Arabidopsis thaliana: one gene and its partners. The protein of the gene in region 4 interacts with the protein of the main gene of each other region in a pairwise test. Each region holds a gene or a part of one and is shown on either strand. Other genes may lie near its edges.

Region 1 (6,657 bases), 4.5 Mb from region 4:
CGCAAAGATTCAGAAAATTCTGCAAGCAAACGAAATCTGCAAATGATAAGAATATATATTTATTAACAAGAAGATGTTTCTCTCCATAAATTGGGATGCAAGAGATTCACTCAAGAGTTATAACTGAAGGTTCAATACAGTTCAATAATAGACCTATGCGTTTGAACCAGTAAAATGAGAATGCAAAACTACAAGTATTAAATCTAAACTTAAGAATACATCAAACTGAAAAACCACCATTCTGAATAGTAAAGTTATGAAGTTAGCTGGGTTACTTTTATCCGAACAAAGGAAAAGGAACAATAGATTACCATAAGCACTATTGGCAGTAGCAGCAGCGGCATTGAGCAAGCTATCATAGCAATCTCTCATGTCTTCTACGTCCTGCGAAAATAACAAACAAGCTAAACAATGTGAGACCAGTTACATCAACATCTCATTAATCTCATCGTAAAACAGAGAGCAGTAAATTGAAACACCTAAGCACCTTCCACCTTTCAATTAGGTTGGTCAAGTGAAAGAGACGATCTAACTTAACCAGATAAAGAAAACGTAAAAGCTACAGAGAAGCTCAGATTAAATCGAGGAAGCTCTAGATCCACCACAATTTTCGTGAATATCTGAATCATCACCGTTTCCTAAATCATTGTCACTAAACTTAAATTGGAAACTAATTCCACCTAGAGCGACGATATGATTGAGAATCGCCTCATCATCAAACAGCTAACAACGAAAAAACGAAAACAGTCCAAATTCGAATTGGTGAGATAGAGATTGGTACCTGAGAAGCTTGGGCAAGCTCATCTTTCTGAACCAGAGCTCGAAGATCTCTCCGGTCTTTAGATTCATGCTTGTGAAGCACACCTCGTAACCGTCGGAGAGAGGTTTTCATTGCCGGAAACGCTATTTCTCCGGCGAATCAAGGAAAATCGAAAAACGACGACAAAGAATGGGCAAGTAGGTAGATGATCGATTCGTCTCCTTTCTCCAACTACGCCATTTTCAACAACGTATGAAAAAAACCCTAATAATAATGCCAGGAAAAAATCAAAACCAGAGGAAAAAAGAACAGAGAGAAATTTAGAAAAATAAAAAAGCGATTGTTTTAGAGGAAAAGTTAAGGCTTTGATCCTTGACTTCGTCGTCTCTTTGATTCTCTTTCGTCCTTTTTATCAATTTTCTTTTTGGGATCATATTATTCTCGCTTATAATTACGTCAGCAAGTGCAATTAATGATGGCAGCAAATGGTTTAGGCTTTTGAATATTACAATAATTACTCCATTTACATTAGAGTTTTATCAAACCGATTCATTCTTAATCAATCTGAAAATCAAACTATAAAAGTAAGTTTCAATCAAACCGAAAAAAAAATAAAAAAAATTTGAAGATCAAAGATATGTTTAACTAAAACCAAAATCATACTAAATTGTCTATGTTATATTAATATTCCTTTATTTGATTTTTTGGAATTTTAAATGAGATGATGTTTTCGACTTCCATTGCAAAATTATCTAGTTTATTATTGATTTTGGGTGATTTATATTTGATAAATTATTTTATATTGGTTGAATCGGATATAGATAGATAATCAATGATGTTTTAGTTAAAAATAAACAAAAATTAATTGATTTGTTAATTTGTGCCAAAACTAAAATATTAATTTACCTTTAAACCAATTTATTCTAACCTTTTACTAATTTATTTCAACCAGACATGAGAGTTTTCTTATCAATGTTGTGATCTTTTACAGTATGGGTAAAAAAGTGTTGTCCAAAAACTTAGAAACAACCCAACAATTGAAAGAAATAATCATTATGCATTTTCTATTTTTAACATATAATGCTTTTTCAGATATCAAAATAAATGAATTTGTGTTGTTTGGGTATATGATTTTTTCTATAAAAAAATGTTCCACATTTTTTTTTTGTAAGAGTGATCTTTAATGTAGTGTTAGTCTCTGATTTGATTGCTTGAATTGTTAGCTAGATGGTTGGTCCTTGTTGTTAATTGACACTCATTAACAAATTAGATATTTGATCAACCAGTTTTCAATATTTGATACAATTAGATAAGCTATAAAATATGGCTATTAATTACCAAAACCAAGAAAGACTCCTGGATTGCATAATTAACTTTGGAAACAATCATAATCTAATTTATTAAAGTTAATAGAAGTTGTTCCCAAGTTTGTTAATCTATAGAAACAAACAAAACTTATTTTCCCGATAACTGATTTCTTGACGATTATCATTAGAAGATGTGTGAGTTAAAGCACTTGAGCAAACAGACGACGAAGAAGTCGAAGAAGAGCAACAACAACAAGTAGCAGGAGTCAAATTCAAATCACAGCATCTTCTTCTCCTTCTCTTTTTCTTCGTGTCTTTTCTCATAAAGTCATAAAATATGGGACAAGTACTCTTCTTGTTCTCCTCCTCACGTTCTCTCTCTGTCTCTGTCTCTTTCTCATTCTCCACCTCTTCTTTCTCATCTTCTTTCCTCTTACTATTACTATTGCTTCTCTTCTTCAAGAACACTCTACACAAAACCCAATTCATGTTCTGTCCCTTTTAAAAACACATTAAAATACACTTTTTAGCCAAGTTTTTATCCAACTGATTGATGAATCTAATTTATTTGAATTTGATTCTCTTACATATAATGAATCTTGTTGTGAATCAACAAGACGATATTCATGAAGAACCCAGTTAGTTCTTGTTCCGTTTGGTGGTTTACCTTTGTAGAAAACAAGAGTTTTCTTCATCCCCACGACAAGCTTCTTCTTACCGATCTGCTTATCGAGACCAGTCGCTTTCCAATAACCCGAACCGGTAGACCGGTTCGACCGGTTTCCGTTCGGGTATTTAGCTTCCCTCGTGCTAAAAAAATACATCTCTGATTCACAATCACCTGTGATCATCATGCATATACACCATCAAATATTGAATTTGAATGAAACCCTAGAGTAGATTTTTCAATTTCTGTACCTGGTAAATCCCATGGATCGGATTTACAAACATCGGTTTCCGGTATTACAGAAGCTGGTAAGGGTAAACCGGTTACTTTTCGACGTAAATATTGAACCACTAGCTCTTCATCGGTCGGGTGAAATCGGAACCCTGGTGGTAATCTAAGTACTCCTCTGTTTTTAATAGAGCTCCTCTTCTCCATCTATCTTTTTAATGTTTGAACCGTAGAAAGAGAGACGAAAGAAGATGAGAGATTATTGAAAATGGAGAGGTAAAGTTTGGCTTATTTTATAGCAATGATAATGGGGTTGATATCGTATAATATTCGAAATACTTTTTCTTTTGAGCCATGTCGTAATGAATTGAATTTGGTAGCTTTACTATTTTAGAGTAGGGTATTGCTCTCTTTTTAATAATGTTTTTGGCACATAAAAAATTGTTTAAACTAAAACAAATACTATAACATTTTCTTTAAAGATGTGATCACCATATATATAACAAGACCTCATGAGTTTTTTTTTTTTTTTTTTTTTTGTATCAATGTTAAGTACTTATACTATTTTCACAAGTTTTTTACCGAAGTTACAGCGAAATACAAATTACATAAAAGATCAAAAACTAAGTAAAACAACAAAACTACATCACAACACAAACACCAGGGAGTACAAGCAAAAACTCAACGAGTAGAGTCTCCGGAAAAAAACATTACTGATTCTGAACCGCTCGGACATCTTGTCCTGAGCTATCTTGTCCTGAGACACTAATGTTTGCTAACCAACGACTTCCACCCTTGAATCACATAGTGTGAGGTAAACAAATTAGAGATCATGTTCATTCATTATGCATCAACAATTAACACACCTCATAACACATAGATAACACGACTAATATATTAGTAATTTTTAGTATTAACGATCGTTAACAATATTATTAGAAGATTAAGTTAGTTTGTAGTTATGGCATATGTCGTATATGTGCTACGACCAATCGTAGACAAAGATGCGTATGCAACTGGATTTCGATTATTCAATTAAAAGAGATGTGATTTCATGGGGTCCATGAAAGTGACAAATGCCCTGCAGATTCCTCTACTCCATCGCATGGTCCAATCATCTTTTCCTAATCCAGATAATAAATTACATAACCCTGTTATTTGGTAAACACTTTTAGCGTATATGTTTATATTTTTTTCTTTCTTCTTTTTGTCAACCATTATAAGTATGGGTTTCTAAACCAACACGTTATTGAATCTATATAGTCTTACGTAAAACGAAAGAAAAGAAATTCCAAAACGGTTGGCTTCCTACAACAATTTATTTATAGGAGATGAAATTGAATTGACGTGCTTTCATCAAGTCTTTCCATTTCTGTTCTACGACTTGCTAATATACCTAGCTACATGGCATTTTAATTGTGTTATAGTTTTTATATTTGATTGGTGAATGAATCTATAAAAAGAAAAGCTCATGTTATACTCGCAAAACGTCTTTTAAGAGATGTGATTAATTCAGGAGCTCAAACAAGTTGCCAGGTATTTTTTTTGATAAAGGGTATAACAAATTGTCAAGTTGCAATAACTTAAGAGAGCAAAAGTGGTAATGTTGTAGAAGAACTTAACAAGCTAAACAAGTAAAAGATGCAATTAGGTAAATGCGTAAATCGCAAGGAGAATGGAGAAGTCAAGAGGGCATTTAGTTGCTTCTAAAGCGACTTTCAATTGCTTTGTCCCACTATAGATCTCCTCCACATTAACTTCATTTGTCTCACACACTTTTCCGTACACACCTCCTAATCTCACAAAAGACTAAATTGCCTCTAATACAATTCAAAGACCACGAATGAGAAAATCACATACTAAGTGGTACAAAAGAAGCGTGATTAGTGCGGAACATAAAGAATTACTCGTACGAATGACGACTATAACAAAACAGCAGCGGATATAGAAACTAAGTTTTGTTGTGTTCAAACATAATTTATTTATCAACAAGTGAATACTATATAATTTAACATACGGTTAATGTAGTTGAATCGTATCGTACATTAGTGTACAACTTTTATGTAGAATACCAAATACAATGGGTTAGTTTGGCATTAAAGGTAGGGCCCAAAGGAGGGACAATGGGAGACTTCAACAAATGCCGGTTGCGTGAGGAGAAGGTAAAGGTCATGTCTCTTGTCCAAATAATACAATGTGGATTTGTCGTCAACGAAATCCATATCGACTTTTTTTTTTTTTTTTTTTCTCTTCCATATGTTCTTGTTGTATGTCTCAACATAATATTATTTTTAGTTGCGGTCAATAATTGGGTTGTAGAGAAAGTTACGAAAAATGAAAATTACATGTCAAGAAATGATACTTTACTTGCTCATACTTGTTACTCACTCGGCTTGTTAAGCTTTATTGTGATAGTCAATTACTCGTTTATATTTCTACTAATCCAGGATATTTCTACTAATCCAGGTTATTACAATTTCACAAAATATTATCAAAGTGAACTATCATTTTATTTGAGTTACGGTCTTAATTAGATGAAAACAAACCAACCCCTAGAATCTATGGATAATGAACTAACATGCTAAAGTTTTGACCAAGCGATTGGAAAATCAACAAACGAAATGGAAACTATTATGTGGCAATACTCGAGTACTATAGACCCAACTGACCCGACATAATCTCTTCACTTTTTATTTTGTTATCTAAAAAAATTCGGTATAAAGCCTTGTTTGGTTTCAAATTTTATCCACTTGAGAATCTCATATATCAAGATGAAACACCTACAACAACAAATGTAACTTCATATGTCAGGACCGGTCCGCAGGACAAGCATGTAATAAAACTGTGTGTTTTCTACATTTTCTATGAAATGGGTGTAATTGAAAGATACTAAATGTTAGGGCTTTTCAGAAACTTCCGTTACGTTTTAGGCGTTTAACACAATTATTATTTTCTAAAACGAGAGCCGTTTAAAGAGAAAGAGAAATTTCTAACTCCAGAGAGCGAAGAACACAATCCCAGAGTAGCAGAATCTGATCCATCCCACCTTTTTCAATTCTCAGGCAAAGGTACGATCTTTCTCCTTCCCCGTTAGAGATCAGCCTTAGATTCGTCATTCTCGTCCATTGAATCAATAGATCTCGAATAATTGTCTTGTTTTATTGTTTCTTCTCACGCTGTTTTGATGCTCTTGCTTGATTGGTGGATCCAATTGAAATTAGATCTCTGTATCGATTCGGTTGATGCCATTTTTATGATTCTTGTTCTGGATTTCCACTGTAATGGAGCTGATTTAAATAGTTCTATATCTGCATGTGTAGAGAGATTGTTGGCTGTTTCAATTTTCCTTATGGAGCTGACTCATTTTTACAAAGTGACTTTCATGTTTGATTCAATTCATTACCTTTTTGCTTGAGTTAATGTGTTTCTCAGTGTTGTTCATGTTGTTTCTCAGTTTTGGGTTTGTTTAATGTTGATTATCTTCATTCTTCAGTGTTTGATCTCATATTCAGATAAGTCAAACTTGAAAAAATGGAAGGGACTGTGTTCACGCCTTGTTTGGAAGGAATGAAGCATGTCAAATCTGATCAAGGCGAGATGCTTACTAAGCCATTTTTAGAGCTTTGCAAGACCATCTTGCCTGTTATAGGTAATAAAGGGAGAAGCTTTTTCTAATTGTTTCTTTGTCTGTCTTA
Region 2 (7,180 bases), on a different chromosome or scaffold from region 4:
CAGGTCGGGTTTAACATGAGGAAAGTAACAAAAGGAAATGTTACAATCAAACTATGGGATCTTGGTGGTCAACCAAGATTCCGCAGCATGTGGGAACGTTACTGTCGCGCTGTTTCTGCCATTGTGTAAGGATCTTCGACTCGAGTTTCTCTTCACTCTGTATCTCCCACAATTTTGGTCTCATGTTGATTCCATTTCCAGGTATGTAGTTGATGCTGCAGATCCTGACAACCTAAGTGTGTCGAAAAGTGAACTCCATGATTTGTTGAGCAAGACTTCGCTTAATGGTATCCCTCTTCTCGTTCTTGGGAACAAGATTGACAAACCTGGAGCTCTGTCCAAAGAAGCCTTAACAGACGAAATGTATAGCTCTTTATCTTCATCTAAACCATCCAGTAAAGGCACAACTTTAGGTCGATCTGATTATGTTTGTTATCGTTGCAGGGGACTTACATCACTTACAGATAGAGAAGTCTGCTGTTTCATGATATCATGCAAGAACTCTACCAACATTGATCAAGTCATTGATTGGCTCGTAAAGCATTCAAAGTCGAAGAACTAATCTTCACCAAGAACATATATTCTCTCTTCTTGATTCTTCTTAGTCTTCCTGTATTGTCTAGTTGATGATGATGGTGACAATTTTTCGTGTGAAACAAGAGTGTCTTTATTTTTCGCCTTCCGTCTCTCCTTCTTCTGCTGGTCTGGTCTTGTTTGGTCCTCCAGTCTTGTCTTTGTATATTAGATGTGGATTGTTTTTCTATTCCCAAGGCTTTGCAATTTTTGAAACACAAAAACATAAGTGTCCCAAAAAAAATTTTACTTCTGAAAATCAACGGCGTTCTGTAGGAAGAGAAATAAACTCTTAACTCTGGTTATTGTATATCTGAAATAGAAACTAGATATCGAACAAATATAAAGTAGCTAACAAAAATAAAGTAGCTACTTGCCTCAACTATCTAAATATAAAATTATAGATTCGCTGTAAAAAGACAATAACTTAGTGCTCTCTCTTCTTCTCTTAGTTGACATTTTGAGGAGGACCTATTCATTTGTTTGTTTCGATCAATATGACTTTGCAGCCTAATCTTCAAGCAAAAGAAATGGAGCTTTCTTTGGTAGGACTTCAAAATTCAGGAAAGACATCACTTGTTAATGTTGTTGCAGTAAGTATACTATGCTTCCATTTTGATAATCTCTTTAACACTTATATGATGGTGGTTGGGGATATAATGATGTCTTTTTACTTGTTTAGACTGGTGAATACAGTGAAGACATGATTCCTACGGTAATTGTTACACTGCATCTTTGATCAAATACGGTTTTCGATCCAAAACCTGTTTTTTTTTTTTGGAACAACATGAAGAGATTCGTCTTTGTGGGTTTATCAGGTCGGGTTTAACATGAGGAAAGTGACAAAAGAAAATGTTGCAATCAGACTATGGGATCTTGGTGGTCAACCAAGATTCCGCTGCATGTGGGAACGTTACTGTCGCGCTGTTTCTATGATTGTGTAAGGATCTTAGAGGCAGGTTTCTCTGTTATCTTTATTGCTTGGCTTATTCACAACTTGGTTTCATGTTGATTCCAATTTCTAGGTACGTAGTTGATGCTGCAGATACTGAAAACTTGAGTGTCTCGAGAAGTGAACTCCATGATTTGTTGAGCAATGCTTCGCTTATTGGTATTCCTCTTTTGGTTCTTGGGAACAAGATTGACATACATGGAGCTCTTTCCAAAGAAGCCTTGACAGAAGAAATGTATAGCTCTTTATTCATCTGAACACTCCAAAAACAGCACTAAAGGCATCTCATTTAGCTCGATCTGATTATGCTTCTTGCCTTGTTTTTGTTGCAGGGGGCTTAGTTCGGTTACAAGTAGAGAAGTCTGCTGTCTCATGATATCCTGCAAGAACCCTACCACCATTGATCAGCTCACTGATTGGCTTGTAAATCACTCAAAATCAAAGAACTAAACTTCAACAAGAACATCATATGTTCTCTCTTCTTGATCTTCTTACTCGTCCTCTGTTGTCTGGTTAATGATGATGATGAGTCTTGAACTAATTTCGCGTGAAACAAGAGTTTGTCTTTATTTGTCTTCTGTCTCACCTGCTGGTCTGGTCTGGTCTAGTTTGCTCAAGAGGTTGTTTTCTATTCTTAAGGCTTTGCAACAAAAACATAAGTGTCTCAATTTTTCAACTTCTAAAAATCCAAGGAAACGGAAATAAGCTCTGTATACAAATCAAAGGCCTTATTTATATCTTTTCAAACCAGTTTCAAAATGGTTCACGAGAAACCTGTGAAGTTACTAACAAAACCAGATCAACAGAAGCAAGAGAAGGAACAGGTTTTACATAATCATCTGAGTTAGAAGACACTGTTACTGACTAAAAACACTGCGGCGATTGTAAAATGTTGATTTCGATGCAAGATCGAAACTTGACATAACATGAAGAATTGAAGATATATCAACCGATACAACATCAATGATTTTCTTAATTCTTACCGAGTTTGGCTATGCATTCTATACTTCACAGCTTTCATCGCCGCTTTTGCAAAAATATGGGCAGCTTCAGCTTCGGCTTCTGCTTTATCTGCCTCTCTTGCTGCTTCTTCAGCTTCTGCCATTGCAAATTCTGCTTCTGCCACAGCTCTTGCAGCTGCTGCAGCAGCTTCTTTTTCTGTCATACCCATTATCATAACTTCTCCACCTACTTGGGATTTAGTAAGATTTTTGACGCCATTCTCCTCCGGTTTCGGAGTGTTTTCCTTGTTTCCTTCCAACAAGAGTTGAGGAGACCTTTGTCCTTCTCCTTCAGCCATATAATTCTGAGAAATCCTGTATTTGTGCTTTTTCTGAAAGGTGAGAACAAACGCAAGAAAACCATTGTTAAGTCAGTGCTAAATTTGTGACATTTGCAAGAGGAAATTTCGATCAAAGTATCTCTCTTTATACCTTAACTAATGTTCCAACATTTGTCAAATACTTCAGCCTTGAAGTCACAAGCCGTTTCATATCCGGTTGCATCTTGAAATTCTCCTGAAAATTTACAGCAACACTAAGACCTTGATGATTGTATATAGATGCAGTAAGCAATGCTTAACTATTTACAGACACAACGAATAAACACAGAAGGAAAACTTCATTGTACCTCTATATACATCAAGATCGACTTTCCGTCAGGACCAAATGGTCTCTTCAAGCTGGTAATAGCCTCCAATATAATCTTATCCACACTACAACAAACACATTAAAACAAGCCTATTATATTCCTCACTATTCCCATATTCCACATTCACAGCATCAAGAATTCATACAAATACAAGAAGAGAGACCAAACCTTGTAGAAGGTCTTGGAGGTTCACAAGAACCTGCAGGAGGAGATGGTGCATCAATCTGTTGTCCTCCTACATCACCATTAGCTAAAGACACAATGGTAATAGCTGTAGCGTTATCGTCTTGCCTACTACCCGACAAAGGAGTTCTTTTAAGAGCAAGCTTAGCCTTCTTCCTAGATCCCCATAAAGCTGTTACACTTATATTTCTCCATTTGTCCTGTAGACAACAACAATAGTATAAGTTTCGAACTTTTCTATAATCTCTCTTCACTTTAAAGTTGTTGATGTTTTTACCTTGAGATCCACATTAGAACGAGACTTCAGAATTGTGCTATACACAGGATCTGAGAGAATGGTACGCCATTTTCCAGTTCCATGTTTAAGTACTCCAGCTTTAAGAGCTGTTTCTTCTTCTGGTGTCCACTTCAGCTTTGGAGCTCCCATTCACACAATTTTATCACAAAATTCAAAAATTCTATAGAAACACACACACACACACAACAAACACTTCTAATGTCTCGACTTCAATTCTCTGTGAACAGATGAAAACATCACAAAGATCAATACTTTATAATGAAATCCCCAAGTTTTTCAATTGCATTAGTAATTCAATAGAAACGCCAGAGATTACGAAGACACGCACGAGAAAAAGATTAAAGCTTTCGATCAGGGAAATGGGGAAATTAACAAGGAGAAGAAGAGGAAGAAGAAGACATGCCTGAGAAAGCTGAAGGGAATGAGAGAGGAAGCTATGGAGAGTGTCATGGATCAAAGTTTGAAATCTAAAAATTGTGGCATGAGACAGAGGAAGAGAAGACACAAAAATTTGACCTTTAATCTTTCGATTCACCTACGCATGTTGGAGGATGAAGTATGTATCGATTTTGAGGTGCTTTACTGGGAGCCCTTTATTATCTTCATTTTTACAAATTCGTCTTAAACTTTATAATTGCAAAAATACACCCATTTGATCTATTAGGGATTAATTTATGAAATTAAATTAACAATGCGAGTAAAAGCAAAGTAGAAATTAGAGTAAACAAGAGATTCAAGAAAAATGATTTTTGAGAGTAAACTTGACAATTACAAGAGATTTTTTAGTAATATAATAAATTTAGGGTTTTCGAAAATAGAATTACGGATTTTTTGTTTGGTCATCGAGCTTCTTATTTTTCGGATGGGAATATGTCTAATATTCTTTACCGTATTATTTCTTAAGATTTGAGTGAATCTTTCCTTATCTTCATGGAGGTCGATGCCGAGCTCATCGACTTTTAGTTCTTGGACTGATTTCACAATTCAGTCATATCATTTTGGTGTATTTTTGGTTTGAACCGAGTTAATCGGTGGATACTAAACCACTCTCTTACATTAAATATAAGAAGTGAAGACTCAAGATTATATACGATTTAGTAGTATTTTTATAAAAATTTGTACATTGAATAGTTGATCAACCGAGGAATGGTGGATGTGACATATATGTTTGAGACGGAAAATGGAAATATATCGGACCGTAAGTATAAATTTATATAAGTTTGATGGTAATGCTAAGTTTTGATCACGTTGATACAGTCACTTCTTCTTACATTTTTGATGAGAAAGAGAACAAAATTGGGTTGCTTTCTTTTTTTGTGTTCCTCTAGTTGGAAAGAATGAATGGCTTTTATACAAAAGATAAAACACACATATACAAAAGATGGGTAACATACCCTGAATCAATCAATAGTCATGAAAGTAAACAAGACCTCAAGTCAAATTCGGATTCATTCATAAAATTAAAGAAAATTAAAGAAACAAACCCAAAACGTGGACACACATAACCAGAAGAAGAGATCTAAAATGTATATCAAACACGTCTTTTTAACATGTTTGACAAAATTGAATAGCATCCTCAAGACGGTCAACGGCAAATATCAGCTCATCTTCCGATCAAAAGCAAGCTTCCAAGAGAACGCAACAGCAGAGCATAGCCAAACTGTAATACAAAACAAATACACATTTTATAAGTACCAAACATATAGACTTTGAATATCCATATTACTCCATACCAAAATTTATGAATAATGAACCAAAAAAAGGTATATCATCAGCTTCAAGTATTCAAAACTATATGTTAATATAAAAAGAGAGAGATAATTGGTCAACGCACCATCCTTCCATGAAGCCTCCTGAATCCTTCTTATCTTTCTTATTTTTCGGTGGAGCCTGACCATAATGCGGTGGTGGAGGACCTTGATAAGGATATTGTGGTGGATGACCTTGAGGATATTGCGGTGGAGGATAGCCTTGTGCTGGATATCCTTGACCGTATCCTTGCTGCGGTGGAGGATAACCTGCTGGAGGATATCCCGCTTGAGGATATTGTGGTGGAGGATAACCTGCTGGTGGAGGATACCCTGCTGGTGGATATCCTTCCTTAGGAGGATACCCTGACAAAACAACAACATCGAAACTTAAGAAACAAGAAACAAAAATACCCTAAAAACTTGGAAAAAATTGGGAATTACCTTGAGGAGGAGGAGCACTAACGGGATGTTGTGGGTCTTGATAAGACATCTTCTTCTTCTTCTCTGTTATGCTCTTATCTGAGGGTTTATTTCTTTCTTTATAACGAACTCTTTGCTTCTTTTTCTTCGCTGTGAATGGAATAATAATAGGGTTAGTGACAATGATGATGGATAATAAAGGAGGTTTAGGAGACAAGAGACATGTTCTCTCCAAGGACTACTCTTAGATTTTAATGATTTTTAAATATAACTAAGAAAACTTACATGTGATATAGATGACCAACTCATATTTGTGGAACTGGAATCATTCAAATTAAATTGCTATTGAAATTTCAGCCGTTAAATAACAAAAAGATGACTTTATTTATTTCCTCCTTTATTATACCAACTATCATCGTCCATTCAAATAAAATACACTATAGTATTGAGTTTCACATCATTGATGACTACACACATGGAAACGTATGATCTTATTGGTCAATATCAATTTATGTCAAAGGTTACATTTTGTTGATTTAGAAGTTAATCTCTCAACTTTTTCGCCTTGCTCATTAGTTCTTTTCCAGAAGACTATATATAAGCAAGGCTTGTTGCTTTGTTCACAAGCAACCTACTACACTCTCCGACTGGTTCAGAAGTTCCCCTAGCTGCTTGCTTTTCAGAACCAGAGGAACCTTCTTCTGCGCTTAACAGTATCACCCTATTTACTTGACGATTCCTTTATCGGATTTACAGTGATTCTTTTAGCATTTTTCACCGCCCATTCGCCAAAACCAGGTGAAGAAACCAATTCCTTCAATGCATTTTCCGTGCTCTCTTTAGTGAATTTTTGCAACTCTTCCTTCGTTAGCTTCCTTCTCCCTTCTGGTGTTTTGTGGAATGAAGAAGGAAAGATATCTGACTCAGATAATGGTACTGTCCTCAACTTCTTGTTGGAACCTGCAAAAACCATTTACAGAAGAAAAACCGGTTCTTCAAGAACAACATTACGAGATAAAGGGACTAGTATAAAGAAATCAGACCACTAGAGACACAAAGAGAAAAAATCAAAACCTCTAGGAAGAGGAGAAGCAAACGAGGTAGCATGGATCAAGCCGGGGCTACAACTCTCAGTTTCATCATCTTGCTCATATATTCTTTGAGCTAACAGCTTTCTGCTAATACTCTTTAGAATCAATGAGATGAGAATTCCAGTTATCAACGCTCCTCCAGCAAGTAATGGATCTAAAGAGCTCTGTTAATTAACACAAGATCAAGACTTCAATCACCAAAAGGTTTGGTTATAATCAAAGATGAATCAGAAGCAAAAGCAGAGAAAAAACGAAGTACCTG
Region 3 (9,921 bases), 3.3 Mb from region 4:
TGGATTAAACTACGTACCTCCGCATTCGAGCTTACTGTGGTTTTCTGTGAAACTGCTTGTTCCTCCTTTGGTTTGTGATTATTTCCTGAAATACATGGTATCTAAAGATAAGAAAGCTTCCCCGATAATGACAACAAAACAAAATAACACAAGATCCGAAATATATTACCCTTATCAACTTCTGAGAGAAAGTTTTTTTGGTCTCCCTCATTAGACTGCACAGTATCATTACTTTTATCAGAGGAATTTGACAAAACCACAGAATTAAAATCTCGATCCTGCAGAATACGTTTAGGCTCCTTCAAGCCTTCTTCGTCCTGAATTACAAAGCAACCACACTTCAACAAAATGAATGCTTAAACAAAGTTTATGGAATGCTTAAACGAACAGAACCTGTTCAATAGCAGTAAGTCTAAGTTCATCCTCGGTCTTATCTGTCTGCAGAATAAAAGTAGCAGCATCTCAGTTGTGCATTCTCGAGAAAATGAATAGGATAATACGCAACGCTACGATATAGAATCATTGCACAATCAAACAGCAATACTGAAGAGTTCCTGGTGAGGATTAGAACAGAAGGATCTAAGCTCAGGATATACGTACAATGTCGGATAATTCTTCAATGAATTCTCCTCTATCTGCCAGAAAACAATCAATAGACAAAATCAAAACAGCTTTCAGAAGCGTAATCCAAAAGCTGAGACTAAATCAAACAAAGGTAAATCCAGTAACGAATTCCAGAAATCTAATCAACGCAATCTGCAATCAAGTAACAACTCTTCACTATACTATCGCCATATCCATCAATCTAACATCCCTGAGACCAAAATTAGAAAGCGAATTGAAGAAACCGCAGAAGTAGAAGAAGCTCACCGACGGAAGTGATGCTCTTGAGCCGATTCGAAACGAAAACAATCGGAGCTAAAACAGATAACAATAGCAGCGAGAGGATCAGAATCCTCTGCCAACGACGAACTTGATTCATCAATGTGCGTAACTTCTCAGAGAACGCTTCATATATTTTATCTCCGTTGCGCTTTAATCGTTCTCCACGAAGAAGAAGAAGCACATTCCCAGAGGGAAGAACACAGATCTCGGAGATTCTCTGCTTCTTCAACAAGCAATTGAAGAAAACGATGAGCAGATTAGGGTTTTCAGATTCTTCTGCAATAGGATTCGATAAATGCGAGAGTCTGTTTCTACGATTTCATATCTGGAGATTCAGAGCTTCCTCGTGCATGTTTAGAGACTTCTGCTCTTTTATTTTTTTTCGCTTAACTCAGATTTTTTAATATTTATAAATCAATGTATTTATTTGATTTTTATACGGAGAGGATTAATGTTGAGATACAGATATAGTGCGGCGCGGTGTACATGTGCTAGCAAAATTACTAGTTTACTAAGATTTGACTTCTTTTGATTGGCTTAGTGGAAATTCTCCCAAGCCACCATAGATGTTTTGACACGTTGATAGAATGTACTGTCAATGATTTTCAAGAGTGGGAAATTCACAGCTTTGTACTTTGGAGTTTGGAGGAACAACTGGAATGTTTGAGGTCGAATTTGGGAATTGAAATTTTTAACCCCTGGATGAGTTTATATTTGATTGATCTCTCTATTATGGGGTGTTGAATGTTATTTACAAAAAAAAAATAGTCATTGTTTTATGGACGAATAAATTATCTACTTGTCGTTTTTTTACCGAATAACGCATAAATTAGATTCAATACGGATAATTCCTAAAATAAAATAAAAACGGTTAGTTCTTCTAACATACGTTACTATAACAAACGTACTTGACGAGTTGGCATAAAAATGTATTTCTACTGTTTTAAAAGTAACGTACGATTCGTCTTGCATACTGTGACGAAATATGTAAATTCTTTTGTCGCTTAGTGATGATGTGAATTATTTTGATTCATAAAGTAGAAACTCGATACATACCTATTAACTAAACATGTATTATGTTGTGATTCATTTTTGCCTAACAAATAAAATTTATTAGCAAGAACCATTAAAATTTCATACTAATTTTGGATACTAAAATGTTAGATTGATATATAAGAAAAGTATATACTCAAAAAGATTTAACAATTTACCAATATTTAGTATTGGAATCAGTGTAGTGTTTGTTAGTACATGCTTTTCTACATTTAGAAACAGTTAAATTATAATTGCAAAAGGAAGCAATATTGAGGTATTAATAAGGTTTTACACTTTTACTTCAGCTAGCTTTGAATTTTAGAAGTTTTATGGACTATTAAATTATCTACTTGTCGATCTTTCATAAAAACTGTTGGCTCTTGCGAGAGATATGTGACCTTCCAATTGATCGCGAAGTGATAAGATGTATTCGATTTTTTCAGCTTATGCCATTTTTACAACTTTTCGGAAAAATGTTTCAAAATATCCATTATGAATTTGACATCCAAGTTATAAATTAGATAAAATTTACTTGAGATAACATATGGACATATAGATTTTACTTATTTATTAGAGTTCATTAACGAAAAATTATTGAGTTAAATATAGACATCTTTAAACTCGTTAATTTTAAAAAGAAATAATAAACAATATATATATATATATAAATATTTTATTTTCAAATTTTATTTATTTAAAGGGTTTTAATTTTTATTAACAGTTATAATATTTATGATTGTTTCCGGTTACTTTGATGCTATTTTCTCGTAATTCCCTTTTGTACATATATATTTAGAACCAAAAATTCAATCATTGAGAAGCATACTCTCTGTCAAGTGTAATTGATTCCTCCTCTTCATTTTTTAATTCTTCATTTCTTAAGTTTTATTAATTAATTGACTCACCTCTTCATCTTGTTTATTTCCAAGTAATTTTCCTAATGATGTCAATAAACAAAAATAAAAAGATTAAAATCACGCAATATCAGTAAAAAAGGAGAGAGGGTTAAATCGGTGGTGGACTTTGCAGCCCTAAACCATTGTTTCGCCTCGGAAAAGCCCATTTACACAATTGGGAAATAAATAAAAACAGAGTAAAGAAAGGAACGTCTTTTACTCTTTACGGTATCGCTCGCTTCTCTTCTTTCTCCTCAACACGAAGACCCCTCTTGCCTCTTTATTAGAGAGACCCCTTCCTTCTTCTTCTTCACCTTCACCTTCTTCCTCGATTCAGATCGTCTCCTCCTCTGTTTTATACTCACCCTATTCCTTCGAATCTCTCTCCATTTTTATCCCCAGATTCTCCCTTCTTCAACCTCGTCGACTCTTCTTCATCACTCTATTTCTTCCGATTGAGACTTCTTTCACTCTGATTTTCTTCGACCCTTTACGGATATATTCGGTCTTGAGTCTCCATCGGATTTGGATTTGAATGTAGGTATCTCGCACGAGAGTTGTTGTTTAACGTAAATCTGGGTTCTTTTTTTTGGTGGGTCGTTGTTTTTCTTCTACATGCAGTTTTGGGGATAGTACGTGCGATTCATCGATCAATCCTCGTTTAGATAGACATCAAGGATTTAAAGGAGTCGTTAAGAGAGCAATGGAAGGAGACATGGTGGCTAAAGTGAAGAGAGAAACGGTGGTGGCATGCATGACTTGTCCTCTCTGTGACAAACTCCTCCGTGACGCCACTACCATTTCAGAGTGTCTTCACACGTGTTAGTTCCTCTTTCCCCTTCTCGATTTACGTTTCGATTCGATTTTACCCGGTTTCTAATTTTCGCAATTTCTCGTCTTTATCGTCTTCTTTGATTGGTTCTCTGTTGTGTTTTTTTTTTCTTCCTCTTGCTGATTTGGATTGAATATCTGCATGATTCTTGTTGTTAGTCTCGTATGCCACTTATGATCTCCTCTATGTCTCAGTCGATTTGATGAAACTCGAGTCAATGAATAGTTTTGTTTGGTTTTCTCAACTAAAGTAATAGTTGTTGTTGAGCAGAATTTGTAATCTTTGTTTACATTTAGACTGCAAGAATCCTCCTTTATTCGTCTCTTTAGGTAAAATTTGTGAGTGTCTTCTTCTTCGTCAAAGATGGTTTGGTCAAACTCATGACGTCCAAATTTGGTTTTGGCTAATCATGTTGTTAGTTAGATTCAGTTGCTTTGTTATATCCAACTTGTAAGTTTTGTGTTAGGAAGTTCGAGTAACAAGTGCTTTAATCTACTCTCATCGGTTTAATGTAAGTTAATATTTGGATTAAGTAGCATTTATCAGCCTCTTTCTTCTACATGATATTATACAATTAAGACAGTTTAGATCATTTTCTGTTTGGAATGGCTTAATTTATTTCTTTTAACATACAATCCAGATTAGTAGTGAGTTTTCTGCATGTTGAAGTATTTGCTGATCTCTGTAATTTATTCAAATTTAGTTTATATTCCTTTTGGAGTCTAAATCAATCTACCATTCCAAGCTTTACACAACCAATTCTTTGTTACCGTTTACGGAGAAATATACCTTGTTACTCTGTAATTATTTTACTCATTCCATCTGATTTTAAAAAGGTAAATGTTAACAGTTCGGTTCCGTTGTACAACTGACCAACTGCTTATCTCAATTTAATAAAATTTTCAGAACGCCCTGCAGAATCTCTTTTTGAGTTACTGCAGTGCCAAAATTAGGTGTTAAATGCTTCACGGTTTTGTTTCTGGGGATGAATGCAGTATCCCCATCAAATTTGTGATTCCATCTCTTTTGTTTAGGTTGGTAGCTATGGATTTTCTTGATTTTAAAACCAAACAGTATGATGCTCATTAACCACTTGTCTACAAGCTTCTGCCATGACAACTAATATAACTTGATGCAGTAGAGACCATACCAATTATCGGCCTTGCTATAATGGATTTGGTGGAAGGAGTCCGATAATCTAACTTGCATCTAATAAATTCAAACTTGGCAGCGAGCCAACTTGCATTGAACCTCAAACATTATGCTATTCATTCTTTACTTAAACTTTTGATCTGAGAAATTGTTTGTTTTTATGTAAGTTGGTCGCCTTTATTACAAAAGATTTTGTTCTTACTTGATAGTTACTATCTATTGAAATGAAACAAGTTCTTATATCACTTTTATGCAGTTTGTAGGAAATGCATTTATGAGAAAATCACAGAGGATGAGATAGAGAGCTGTCCAGTATGCGATATTGACCTCGGGGGTACCCCACTGGAGAAACTAAGGTAAGTTCTTCTTCTTCTTTATTCCTTACACAATTTTCTCCTCGGTCTTGGTTTAGCAGTGATTCCTTGTATAGACTGTTAGAAGCCTTTTGGCTCTTACTGTTGATGAAACGAAGTTTTCTTACATAATGCTGAAAAGTTGTACATGATTATGCTGAGGTGTGCCACATATGGAAGGTTCTTCCGTAATTTTTGTGGCATAGTGTGAAGTTAATCAAGAAAAGTCATTTCGATTCAGAAGCAGTTATGACCTGAATATGTTGGCTAGTTTAATACTTTCGCTGACACCAACAATTTTTTGTTAGAACCTGAAACAAATCTCTTTAGTACTACACTCTCTCTTACTAGTTGGTCACCAGTAAGAGCTTTGTTGGTGGCGAACTTATTCATTTTCTAAAGAACCACTCTTATGTATTTATTTTAGGCCTGACCACATTTTGCAAGACTTGAGAGCCAAATTATTTCCTCTAAAACGTAAAAAGGAGAGAGCGCCTGAAGTTGTGTCCTCCATCTCATTACCTGCAAAGAGGAAGGAGAGGTCTATCTCGTCTTTGGTGGTAAGCACACCCAGGGTTTCAGCACAAGCTGGTACAACAGGAAAAAGAACAAAAGCTGCTACGAGAAAAGATGTAAGAGGTAGTGGTTCATTCACTAAGAGAACAGTGAAGAAGGAAGAAGAATTTGGAGATGATCATGTAGAGAGCGCAAGCTCGCCTGAAACACTTAAAAAGTTTACTCAGAATAAAAGACAGGTAAAGAAGGTGATCATTGCAGTTCTCTCTTTACCTTTATGTTTTACTTTTTCTCTTTACCAAGTCCAAACACAACGTTATGACTGATTATGGTCTTTATATAGTTCCCCATACATTTATTTATTTATTAATTCTTTTTTTGCAGTCTTCATATGCAAATCCTAACCAGTCCCTCTCTAATCGAAGAAACAAGGATGTTGATGAACCATGGGATTCCAAATTACATCTTTGGAAACCTCTAAATTTTCTTGTGGATGTGGCAAACGGAACAAAGGACCCAAAATCTGAGCTTGGAAACGCATCCCACAATGATGTTCAGGGGAGTAAAACCAAAACAAAGGATCATAAAAGAAAGTGTAAACTCGAGGAAGAGATCAGCAATAACGGTGATCCTACAACATCAGAAACTGCTACACTTAAACGAACGCGTCGGACTCGTCGCAAAAGGTCATCTACTTTTGGTGATTCTAGAATTCCACTGTTACCAGGTGCAGCAAGCCTAAAACAGGAGAGGAGAAACGGTCATGTTTGGTTCTCACTTGTAGCGTCAAGTAATCAGTGAGATTCCTGTTCTGTATCTGAGACTCTGAGTACTTCTGATATTCAATATTTTCTGTGTCTTTTCATTTCTATCTCTTAGTGACACGGCTTTACTGGTTTCAGGGAAGGAGAAGCATCATTGCCTCAGATTCCAGCAAACTACTTGAGAATAAGGTAAGTTGTTCTTTTTGCTTTGCTCTGTTTCTTGTCACTAAGTTTTTATATGTCAACTGTGAAGTCTGTGATCAAATATTACTTATTATTGCATTGATGGCTTTGAATTCGATTTCGCAGTTGTTTTACCCGAGTTTCCATGTCATGTTTGTTTTCTGTGGTATACGTTTCTTGATAAAGCCTTCTTCTTTTTTGGCCCATCACACCTAATCCTTGACTGGGAGGTGTCTATTTTCTTGTTTGGGAGAATTATATTGTGCCAGAGTTGATCCCCTGTCTCATTATATGGTAGGGATGGAAATATTCCAGTTTCTTTTATCCAAAAGTACCTCATGAGGAAGCTTGATCTCAAGAGTGAAGATGAGGTAAGCAATCTTATCTTATGCAGTGGCTACTTTTCTGTTTTATATGAGGTATCCACTCGGTCTAATATGGAATCACATAGACCGTAGTTCTATACATTGGTTCAAGTCTTGTGCTTATCAATATGACTGTAAGGTCCCCATAAATGTTTAAACTAAAGTTAACTCTCCCTTTTATTTCCGACTTGTGTACCGGGTGATATCTTATGATCTGGGACTTTTTCGACCCACCGGTGTTGAACCTTAACTACTCTATGTTTTTTTTTTGTAAACAGGTAGAGATAACATGTATGGGAGAACCAGTGATCCCAACGTTGCAGCTTCACAGCTTAGTAGACCTATGGTTGGAAACAACTTCTAAGCATCAAAGAGTCGCTGCGTCAATAGGTTCATCTGCAAAGGAATTTGTAATGGTGCTAGTTTATTCTCGGAAGCTCCCTGAATGCAACAACTAAAGAGCTATTCATTGAATCTTTTCTAGACCGAGAAGAAAGAAAAGTGCAGGAGCAGTGGAATGTCTTGTGTAGAAAGAAACTTAGCAATTTATATTTATTTAATTGTAATCTTAAAATTTGAAACATTGGTGTGAGACAGACACTTTGTTTGTTTATCCAAGAAGATTCAAAAATGGCTTTTTAAAGGAGATTGTGTCCTTTTTGGATATTTGAATGTATGATTAGGATAATGTTGTCATTTCTATAAATATTTGTTTCCTTGTTTGGACTAAATGGAGAAGTACACGGAATCCTTGTGAATCGAATGACTTAGCCATTATTGAGAAGTCAAAAGAAAAATAACCAAAAAAAAACTTGTGAAGTGTACCTTTAATACAAGAATTAAAGAGAGATGTATAAAAGTTTTCTAACAATTTTGTTCACCAAAAAAAAAAGTTTTCTAACAATTTTTAATACAAAATGCAAAATTAAAGATGAATTTTCTTATTTCTTTTTTTAAAACATAATTTTGAAGAAATTTGGTTGTCTTTTTGCATTTGTTTCTAGATATTTCTAAACTGTTGGGAAATAAAAAAATTTGCACACAAAACATAGTTAAATTCACGTGGTATTTATAGAGATTTACTTCAACCAAATTTGGATTTTGGGTCATTGTTTTATGGACGGATAAACTATCCATTAGTCAAATTTCCACAAAAATAATATGTGAATTAGATTCGACAAGGCTAATTCCCCCACAACATACGATACTAGAACAAACGTACTTGACTACTTGACGTAACAATGTTTCTCTTACTGTCTTGAAAATAACATATAACTCGTTCATCACCAATTTTCTTGTACATGATTGATTAAGTGTGTAAGCATCTTTTTCGATTAATGATGATGATGTTAATTGGAGAAACAAATTTTTCATAAATTCCCTTATAGACAAAGTCTTATAATTTTGTTAAATTCCGCATATATTTTACCAAAACTTTGTCGAATGGAAAGACACGTCAAATGTGCTAATTAGAAACTGTTGTATTGAGATTTCAAGAGGAATCAATAATAAGGTACTACTAGGGTTTTATTTCAATTAGGTTTGAATCTTGGGTCATTGTGACGAATAAATTATCTACTTGTCGATTTTCTACAAAAAGCACACATGAATTAGATTCAACGTGGCCAATTCATCTAACATATGTTACTAAAACAAGCGCAATAGACGAGTTGGCGTAATTTTATTTTATACTATCTATAAAGTAACGTATGATTCGTCTATCACCAATTATCTTGTAAATGATGGTAAAATGTCTAAATTCGTTTGTCGCTTAATAATGATGATGATATACGTTACTTTAATTAAAAAAAGCGAATTTTCGATAGATACTCTATTAACTAAGCATGCACATATCACGTTGTGATTGATTTATGCCTAGTAAATAAAATTTATCTCCAGCAAGAATAATTGAAACTTCATAACTAATTTTGAATGCTAAAATGTTAAATTGATATATGGGAAACAAGTTATGATACTCAAGAAGTCACCAATATCTAGTATTGGAATCGCTGTGGTGTTTGTTTGTAGATATTTTTCTACATTTAGCAATGTATTACATTATGATTGCAAGAGGAAGCAATATTAAGGTATTAATAAGGTTTTTACTTTTACCGGGTTAGAATTTTGGGTTTGTTTATTGGATGAAGAAATTATCCACTTGTCGATCTTTCATAAAAAGCACACGTGAATTAGTTTCGACATAGTTATATAGTTCTCCTAATATACGTTATTTGAACAAGAATACTTGACTAGTTGATGTAACGATGTTTTCTTAACGTTTCAAAAGTAACGTACGATTCTTCCATAACCAAATGTCTTGTATATAATGGTAGAATATATATTTTGTTTTGTCGCCTAATGATTATGATGTGCGTTACTTTAATTTAGAAAGCGGACTATTTAAAAACTGCTATATTGAAACCGCAAGAGAAAGCAATAGTAAGGTATTAATATGGTTTTACTTCAGCCAGATTTAAACCACCAACAATACTTTAAACCATTGGTCGATCTTTCACCACAAAAACCACACGTGAATTAGATTCGGTGTGGCTAGTTCCCTAAACATACGTTACTAGAACAAGCGCACTTGACTAGTTGGCGTGACGATGTCTTTCTTACTAATTTAAAAGTAACGTATGATTCGTCCATTACCAATTGTCATATACCTAATATAAAATATAAATTCGTTTGTCGCTTAATAATGATAACATGCGTTACTTTATGTTAAAAAGCCAATTTTCGATAGATTTTCTATTAATTGTAACGTTATAATTCATTATACATAACAAAAAAAATCTTCAACAATAATATATTGAAATTTCATAACTAATGGATGCTAAAATGTTAGATTAATAGATAGAGAAAACTTATAATACTCAAAACATTTAACACCAAAATTTCCAATATCTAGTAATGGAAATGTAATGTTTGTTAGTATAT
Region 4 (6,952 bases):
TCAATGTTACTAAACTACACTTAATTATTTTTGGGGTTAAACATCGTGTTAAAACTCTATAATTAAACGTATTTGAGCTGGAGCACTTTTAGAATGAGTGACTTGCTTAGAAGTAATTTCTGATACATATTTAGACAATAAACAACTTTTTAAAATTGTTATCAGACGATGTTGAAGTCTACGAACTGAGAAATAGTATAGAAGACCACATACGGTGATGGTCGGAGCGTTACACTCAATTTGTTTCCTGTCAACATTTCTCAGTATATTTCTAGAAGAATCCCCGATGGAAGTAAGATCACTACAATTTTGTTGATTAAAAATTAACGATTTCCCCACCCATTATTTTTTCTTTAAATGACATTTATTGTTAGTCAACTTATGTCTTAAATATTTTTCCTATCACTGTCTAATGGGGGAATTTTAATTTTTAGCCCACTCGCAAGACACAATAAATTGTTTCAAAATTTATAACTACAACTAGTGCCTCCTCTAACCACTGTTTTTAAAGGGGTCGCTATTGTATTTTAATATTTTTATAGCAAAAAGACAAACTATTCTACAAGTATTAACTTTTCTATATGTCTATTTCTTAGTGGGGTCACAATTGTGTCTATTTTGTATACAAAATAGATACCATTTGTAGGTCTTATAAAAAAATTTGTTTAGTGAAAGAAAATTTGGTTTAAATATTTGAAAATACTAGACATATATTTCTTAAAGTATTAAATCTATTTTAAAATAATCTTGTTTATCATTTTCTTTTAACAGCTCATTCGTTGATTAATTAAGCACTGTTTACAATGTGAAAAGGTATATAAAATTTAAAAATAAAAAATAAATTTCAATTAATAAAATTTATCAATACTAAAGATTGATATAGAAGATAAGTATAAAATAAAATAATAAGATTAAAATTAATGTGTGATTAATGTTGAAAATAAGCAATGATTCAATTTTTCATTGTAAAAAGAAATGGAGGATTGTATTAAGAATATTCTCTCAAAAAATGTAAATTGTCATGTTTTCGAAATAGATTGTGTAGAATTACTTTCTCTATATTGCAATCTCATCAGAAATGTCCCGCTTTTTCAAAATCCTAGATGAGTTTGGTTCGCTCCAAGTTAAGTTTTTTTTTCTCGTTTTCTAATATTCCTCGCTCTTGTAATTTTCAAATTGATTATTTAGCTAAGACTTCTAAATCTTTAAGTTCTGATAATTCTTATGTAAACTCTTCTCTTTTTGATTGGGCTACCAATCAAAAAATGAATCTCTAATCAATGTGTAGTTGAAAAAAAAGTGGAAGATTTAGGACGAAAATATTGTTAAGTAATACTTACATAACCTTTAAAAACAAGGCATTTGGTCGACCAATCAAAATGGGAATGGGAGAAAATCATATCTCACAATTTATAATATAAATCTTGAACACTGAGATCAATAAGCAAATTTGTAACTATAGTAACCATTTTTATTTCAAAATACAAGTAAATAAAAATTTATAAGAGCCCATAGAGGTCAACTGAACTCAAAACTTTTATAAGAACACAAAAAGAATTTCTAATGAAATTTGTTTATAGCAGCATGAAGTCCCAATATAGTTAGCATAGATTTCTCGTTCTCAGTTAAAGATTTACAGATTAAGTATAATCAAAAAGTAATTAACATGAAGCCAATAAAATTAATGAACACTTAGGTACTTCATTATTGAACCAACCCAATGATATTGGGGAAAAATATATATCAAAGTATCAAAACCAATGATACAGCCATAATTAGGTACACACACCAATCCAGCTTTTGCACTCAACAAACGACAAAATCCCATATTTCGTGCATATATCTGGTTTTATTATCCAACTACTCATTATTCAACTAAACCGAGTGATCTGGTCAAAATTGGAGACCAAATCTAACACGTTTAACCACTGCGAAATTCACATAAACGTTTTTTAAAATATTATTCAGCTAACGCAACTCTTATGTTCTTCACCACTTCTTCAACTGGTCGAGAAAATTTGTTGTCCATCTGCAAATTAGATTTAAAAATCACATTAATACATAAAAATCAACAGTAAATGATAATATATAAAAAAAGATAGAATATGATAAATAAAAAAATATTAGAAGATTGATAACATACCTTAGTGAGAATGGTTATAACGAGAGTTGAATTTCCAAATGGTAAAGTGAAGCTATTGACTACTTCAAGACGAAACTTCTCCAAGGAACTTAAGATCTTAATCATACACCCTTTGTTCTTCTCACAATGGACTCTAATCAACAAATCTCTGTCTGAAACTCGGGCTTCGATCATAGGCATTGTTTGTTTGAAGATCGAAACTTCGTCCGAAGAAGAAGACAGAGGAGACGCAGCAGAGCAAGTAGAAGAATAAGATGAAGAATCATCATCTAAATACACTTGAGATCTCTTCACCAATATAATTGATTGATCCATTTTCTTGGTCACCACTCGCTCCTCCTCCAGCTTCTTTACCCGCTCTTGAAGTTGTTTCAAATGTTTGATGGCATCTTCAAGAACTGTTGCCTTGTCCGTCTACACACACACACACAAAAAAAAAAAAAACATTTAGTACAATATTTACTAGAGAACATTGTGTCACCATCCGGATTTTATGAGTAGTGGCATCCACATACAAACAAATTACAAGCCTATCATATTAAACACGATTTTTACGAGAAAAAAAACGTTTAAGAAAAAAAACAGATTTTCATTTTCAAAATGTAAATAAGAACAAGATTTTCTTATGTTTGTTGAGGTTGGAGTTTACATTTACATTTAAAGAAAAATGAGTTTCTTTTTCCGAATATATATTTACGGTTCTGGTGGGTTATTTATAAAAGAATATACTATATAATAAATATTAAACCAAACACAAATAGTTAAAGTACAATCAGAAAGAGATGGTTTATAGATGTTGACCTTTTTGAGGCCAGGAAGAAGAGCAGAGAGAGCAATCAAACGCTCGTTGAGCTTTTGTCGACGTTTTCGTTCAGCCAAAACATGTTCTTTCAATAGATGTGGTTCTCTTCTTCCTCCATTGTTAACACAATCTTTTCTTTTCGACCCCACTTTCTGATCCATGCTTACTTGGTTGGAGAAGTTCAAAGATGTCTCGACCGGGTTGGTTTTCGTGTCTGGAGACCCAAATGAGATCACTTGTGACGTGCGAGAACCAGAAGAAGAAGAAGACGACGGAGAAGAAGATGTTGAATTCATGTTGTTGTTGGTTTTCATTTGCTTCGTTGGTCTTTCTGCTAGCAACTCAAACCCGGTTCCAGATCCAGACTCGGAACCGGGGTTGGTGTTAGTTTCCCCGCATATCGGGAAATCGGATTCCCAGTCATCGATCAGATACTCGTCAGTGTCGATCATCAAATCCATAAAGCTTGAATCATCCATTACAAGAACTCTTTTTCTCTTTTGACAAGAGAGTAAAAAAAAGTTAATGTTGAAAGAATAAAACTAAACAAGAAGCTAAAGGAAAGAAAACTTTAGGAGTATATAAGGAGATATATTTTAAATTTTCCTTTGTTCTGGAGTATGTATGATTTTGTTTTGTTATGTGAATGTGGTCGAGTGAACTCTTTATAGTGGATCTATATGATTTTGTTTTTTATAATCATTATTTTGCAGTATACAATTAATATCTGCATGGAAAAAGAGCATATGGTTTATAATTGTTATATGAATTTGGCTGACGAATCGCATATCCGTTTACCCGATCCGGTAGGTTTAGCAATAATAAATTTTAGTAAATTAAAGGTCCTGAAAATAATTAAATGTGGGAATTGTTTTGGTTGAAATTGGTATTAATAGGTGGGGATTTGAGTAGCCACCGATGCGATGAGATCTGGCATTGGAAAACTAACAAGACTTTAATTAAAGATCAAAATCATGTGATTCGTACCATAAATGTATCCATCTTGATAGAAATATAGATTTGTGAGTCTATGACTTTAGGTAAGAAAAAAAAAAACCACAGCCCATCACGTGGACGAATTAGATTAAATGTAGATAAAGCATATGACATATGGATAAACTGGAAGAAAACAATGATAAATATTGTAAGTTTTTTTATTAGACAAAATTGTGATAGTTTGTGCAGTATTTAAATAGACCACGAAGAAAATTGTCAAAATCGATCGTTAGGAGCATAAAAAGTTATTTTCGAAGATCTTTCGATGCTCAAAATTAGAAAAAAAAAAAAAAATGCAGATGCAAAAGAGGATATGTAAATGCTCTGTTAGTTTAAGTGTTTTGGGTATTTGCATAGTATATTTCAGAAAATTGAGGTTTTAAGTAGTCTTGAAGATATCATATTATGGGTCTAAAGTTCATATATCATTTTATGATTAGCTCGTACTTGATAGTTGATAGCTAATATTTACCCCTAATGATATAAGTAAGTTATCATGTTCACTATTTTAAACACTGATGATGCTTGTTCAAAAAATAAAACAAAACCACTGATCGTGCCAACACATCAAATGATCAACATATAAAGATTTGAACTCAACTCCCCACGTGTTATTGCAAGTAACTTGGTCCCACTACAGATCCGAATTTGCTTATCAATGTCCAAAATCATTAGTTTTATTATAAGAAAACTCCAATAAAATCCAATCCTTCGTGACGTAGAATAGATTTTACGCTTATCATATAGATGATAATTGGATATTTATATTCTAAAGCCAGTAGAGGTTGAAAAATACTATGTTTATATAACTCCTACTTGTTTATGCAATAATACGAGGCTCCCGTTGAATCTGTCTGGACAAATTAAAAAATAATAATTAACTGTGATTAAATAAATGGTGAAATATTTAAGTTATAATTGAGTCAAATTTATAATTGAGATTGTGAATAAATTATAACTTAATTATAAATTAGTTACTTATGAAATTAAGATTAGTTCTATACACAATCTTAATTTCCGTGCTTCTTTGTGAATCGAAGATCTATAATTGAGTTTGTGTATAGAATTACTAATTAAGTTATTAATACAGCAGCGCAGATTCATGATTGTTCCAAAAAACTTTAGCAAAATCAATATTTTTCCAAAAAACACTTTTAAGAATTATTTTTTACTAATTAATTTAAAAATTCAACCATGATATAAAAGATTCCAGAATACAAATAGTCAACTATATTTCACATTGCATAGGAATTTGTAAAATATCCTATATGCTTAACTGGTTATGAGACGGATTGCGGTTAGTAAGAATAACACAAACACTAAAAATGATTTTTAGGGGTTTAAAATTTAAAATTTTGGGTTTGAATTTAGTATTTTGGGATTAGGGTTTAATTTTAAAGGTTATTTTTCAGGATTTAGGATTTAATTCTGAAAATTTTATATTTAGTTTTAGTTTTGTGGTATTTAGGAAAAAATCTTTTAGTAGTATTTTTGAAAAAAATAATCAAAAATACTAAATGGTATTTTCCGAACAAAATCATTTTAGTGGTCTTTTTTAGAATTGCCTTTTAATCTATGTTTTCCACGTCCTCATAACCTACCAATCAAAGCCATAATATTATATCGAAGAAGTTTTTCTACGTAAAGTGAGTTTACAATATAGATTTTGCTGTTAATTTCCTTTTTTTTTAATAATTAAAATACAATAAATACCATAATAATCACTCTTTGTGAAGTTGTCTCTGGAACCATTTTCCTATCCTCGTGAATCATGTGTGATTAATTGTTTTGCCTCATTATTGCATTAATATTATTATTAATAGTATTTTTTAGGTCAATGCATTCTTATTATAATATACCGATTGTTCTTATATATAGCAAAGAGATCAAAACTAATTCTAGGACCTGGGATCGATTAACCCAATAATAAATATTTTTTATAGCGACAACATATGTGATATAGTGGTTTGTTTAAATATCATCCATGTGTCATGCCATTCGTAATTAAATTTACAATATGCATTGCCAAAAAACAAAACAAAAAACACATTTGTTGTGAATGTAATCATTTTCCATACAACTTACATCCATATATGAAGGGATAATAATTGTTTTGATAATTTTGGTTACGGGCTCAATGAAGTCTTGATGTCTTTTTTTCTGTTTTTTTTTTCTTTTTGTCTTGATGTCTTTATTCACATCATTAATTGGTGAATTGAAAAAAATGTGGTTCAGTGTACCTCAAGCATACAATGTTACTATACATAACAAATATTTATCACCAACAGTGTTTATGTGGATAATAAATAATTTTTTCCCATATTGCAATGCTTTTTTTTTTTTTGTGTAAGCACCATATTGCAATGCATATTAAGATGAACAGAGAGAGTATTAGTTATACGTCTTGATTAATTATAATTCAAAAAAGAAATAACAATTTGAGATCTGTACGAATATACAAACAGGCAAACACCAGATTAATTAGTAGTACTCGTACATGTCATTACTTTACTCTTTATCTGAATTATTTAATACAAATAATTTAAATGGTTCGTGAATAATATATAACAAAATTGAGTAAAAATGATTTCATGATATATCCACCTTTAAGATGCTATTCTTTCTGGAAAAGATTGAGATCCATTTTATTAAAGCCTTTATAGTTTATATCAGTTAATGATCTCCACCCTCCATGTTACTCCTTACAAATTTTATTTATTGTTATTGTCTACATATTAATTGCGGAGATTTATGATGATAAACAAATATCGAATGAACCTTCTCACTACAAGGATCGTTTGAATAATTTAATGGAGTACATAAACTCCACATTATCAAAGAAAGATTTTCAGTTCACTCTTAATTTGTTTCCAACAAAAACTTTTGGGTATTTTTGAAACTCGTCAGATTGAACATGATTTGTAGATTGTAATCTAAGTTGTGGTTATGCTAGTATTATACCACGCTATCACCATCTGGACTTTTTTTTTTGTTTATAATTTATGTTGTTA

What was found.
Region 1: the proteins of NAI1 (region 4) and NAC041 interact in a two-hybrid assay, tested with the Arabidopsis thaliana proteins (one large-scale study listed by BioGRID).
Region 2: the proteins of NAI1 (region 4) and TRB3 interact in a two-hybrid assay, tested with the Arabidopsis thaliana proteins (one large-scale study listed by BioGRID).
Region 3: the proteins of NAI1 (region 4) and DRIP2 interact in a two-hybrid assay, tested with the Arabidopsis thaliana proteins (one large-scale study listed by BioGRID).

The regions. Positions count from the first base shown.
Region 1 is NC_003071.7:14,177,787-14,184,443, reverse strand, and holds NAC041 (NAC domain containing protein 41), read right to left. Parts: upstream 3,467-6,657; 5' UTR 3,170-3,466; coding exon 2,986-3,169; exon of another isoform or gene 2,922-2,985; coding exon of another isoform or gene 2,909-2,921; coding exon 2,655-2,908; intron 2,566-2,654; coding exon 2,197-2,565; 3' UTR 2,005-2,196; downstream 1-2,004. Other genes in the region: AT2G33490 (hydroxyproline-rich glycoprotein family protein), read right to left, coding at 1-19, 312-384, 782-892; GLTP1 (glycolipid transfer protein 1), read left to right, coding at 6,494-6,611. UniProt on the Arabidopsis thaliana protein: Transcription activator of the mannan synthase CSLA9. Recognizes and binds to DNA-specific sequence of CSLA9 promoter.
Region 2 is NC_003074.8:18,486,056-18,493,235, reverse strand, and holds TRB3 (telomere repeat binding factor 3), read right to left. Parts: upstream 4,244-7,180; 5' UTR 4,060-4,243; exon of another isoform or gene 3,874-4,059; 5' UTR 3,786-3,873; coding exon 3,636-3,785; intron 3,559-3,635; coding exon 3,344-3,558; intron 3,240-3,343; coding exon 3,155-3,239; intron 3,043-3,154; coding exon 2,959-3,042; intron 2,859-2,958; coding exon 2,505-2,858; 3' UTR 2,240-2,504; downstream 1-2,239. Other genes in the region: ARLA1C (ADP-ribosylation factor-like A1C), read left to right, coding at 4-125, 202-363, 445-562; ARLA1B (ADP-ribosylation factor-like A1B), read left to right, coding at 1,071-1,166, 1,256-1,288, 1,392-1,513, 1,599-1,760, 1,858-1,975; WIH3 (cysteine-rich TM module stress tolerance protein), read right to left, coding at 5,271-5,316, 5,491-5,770, 5,849-5,897; AT3G49840 (transmembrane protein (DUF2215)), read right to left, coding at 6,549-6,787, 6,902-7,082, 7,178-7,180.
Region 3 is NC_003071.7:13,022,925-13,032,845, forward strand, and holds DRIP2 (DREB2A-interacting protein 2), read left to right. Parts: upstream 1-2,986; 5' UTR 2,987-3,519; coding exon 3,520-3,637; intron 3,638-5,056; coding exon 5,057-5,156; intron 5,157-5,580; coding exon 5,581-5,908; intron 5,909-6,053; coding exon 6,054-6,466; intron 6,467-6,571; coding exon 6,572-6,622; coding exon of another isoform or gene 6,623-6,626; exon of another isoform or gene 6,627-6,914; coding exon 6,915-6,987; intron 6,988-7,259; coding exon 7,260-7,439; 3' UTR 7,440-7,737; downstream 7,738-9,921. Other genes in the region: LGT5 (los glycosyltransferase 5), read right to left, coding at 18-85, 170-317, 394-438, 601-635, 871-982. UniProt on the Arabidopsis thaliana protein: E3 ubiquitin-protein ligase that acts as a negative regulator of the response to water stress. Mediates ubiquitination and subsequent proteasomal degradation of the drought-induced transcriptional activator DREB2A. Functionally redundant with DRIP1.
Region 4 is NC_003071.7:9,681,330-9,688,281, reverse strand, and holds NAI1 (basic helix-loop-helix (bHLH) DNA-binding superfamily protein), read right to left. Parts: upstream 3,721-6,952; 5' UTR 3,425-3,720; coding exon 2,945-3,424; intron 2,558-2,944; coding exon 2,144-2,557; intron 2,030-2,143; coding exon 1,961-2,029; 3' UTR 1,669-1,960; downstream 1-1,668. UniProt on the Arabidopsis thaliana protein: Transcription activator that regulates the expression of at least NAI2, PYK10 and PBP1. Required for and mediates the formation of endoplasmic reticulum bodies (ER bodies).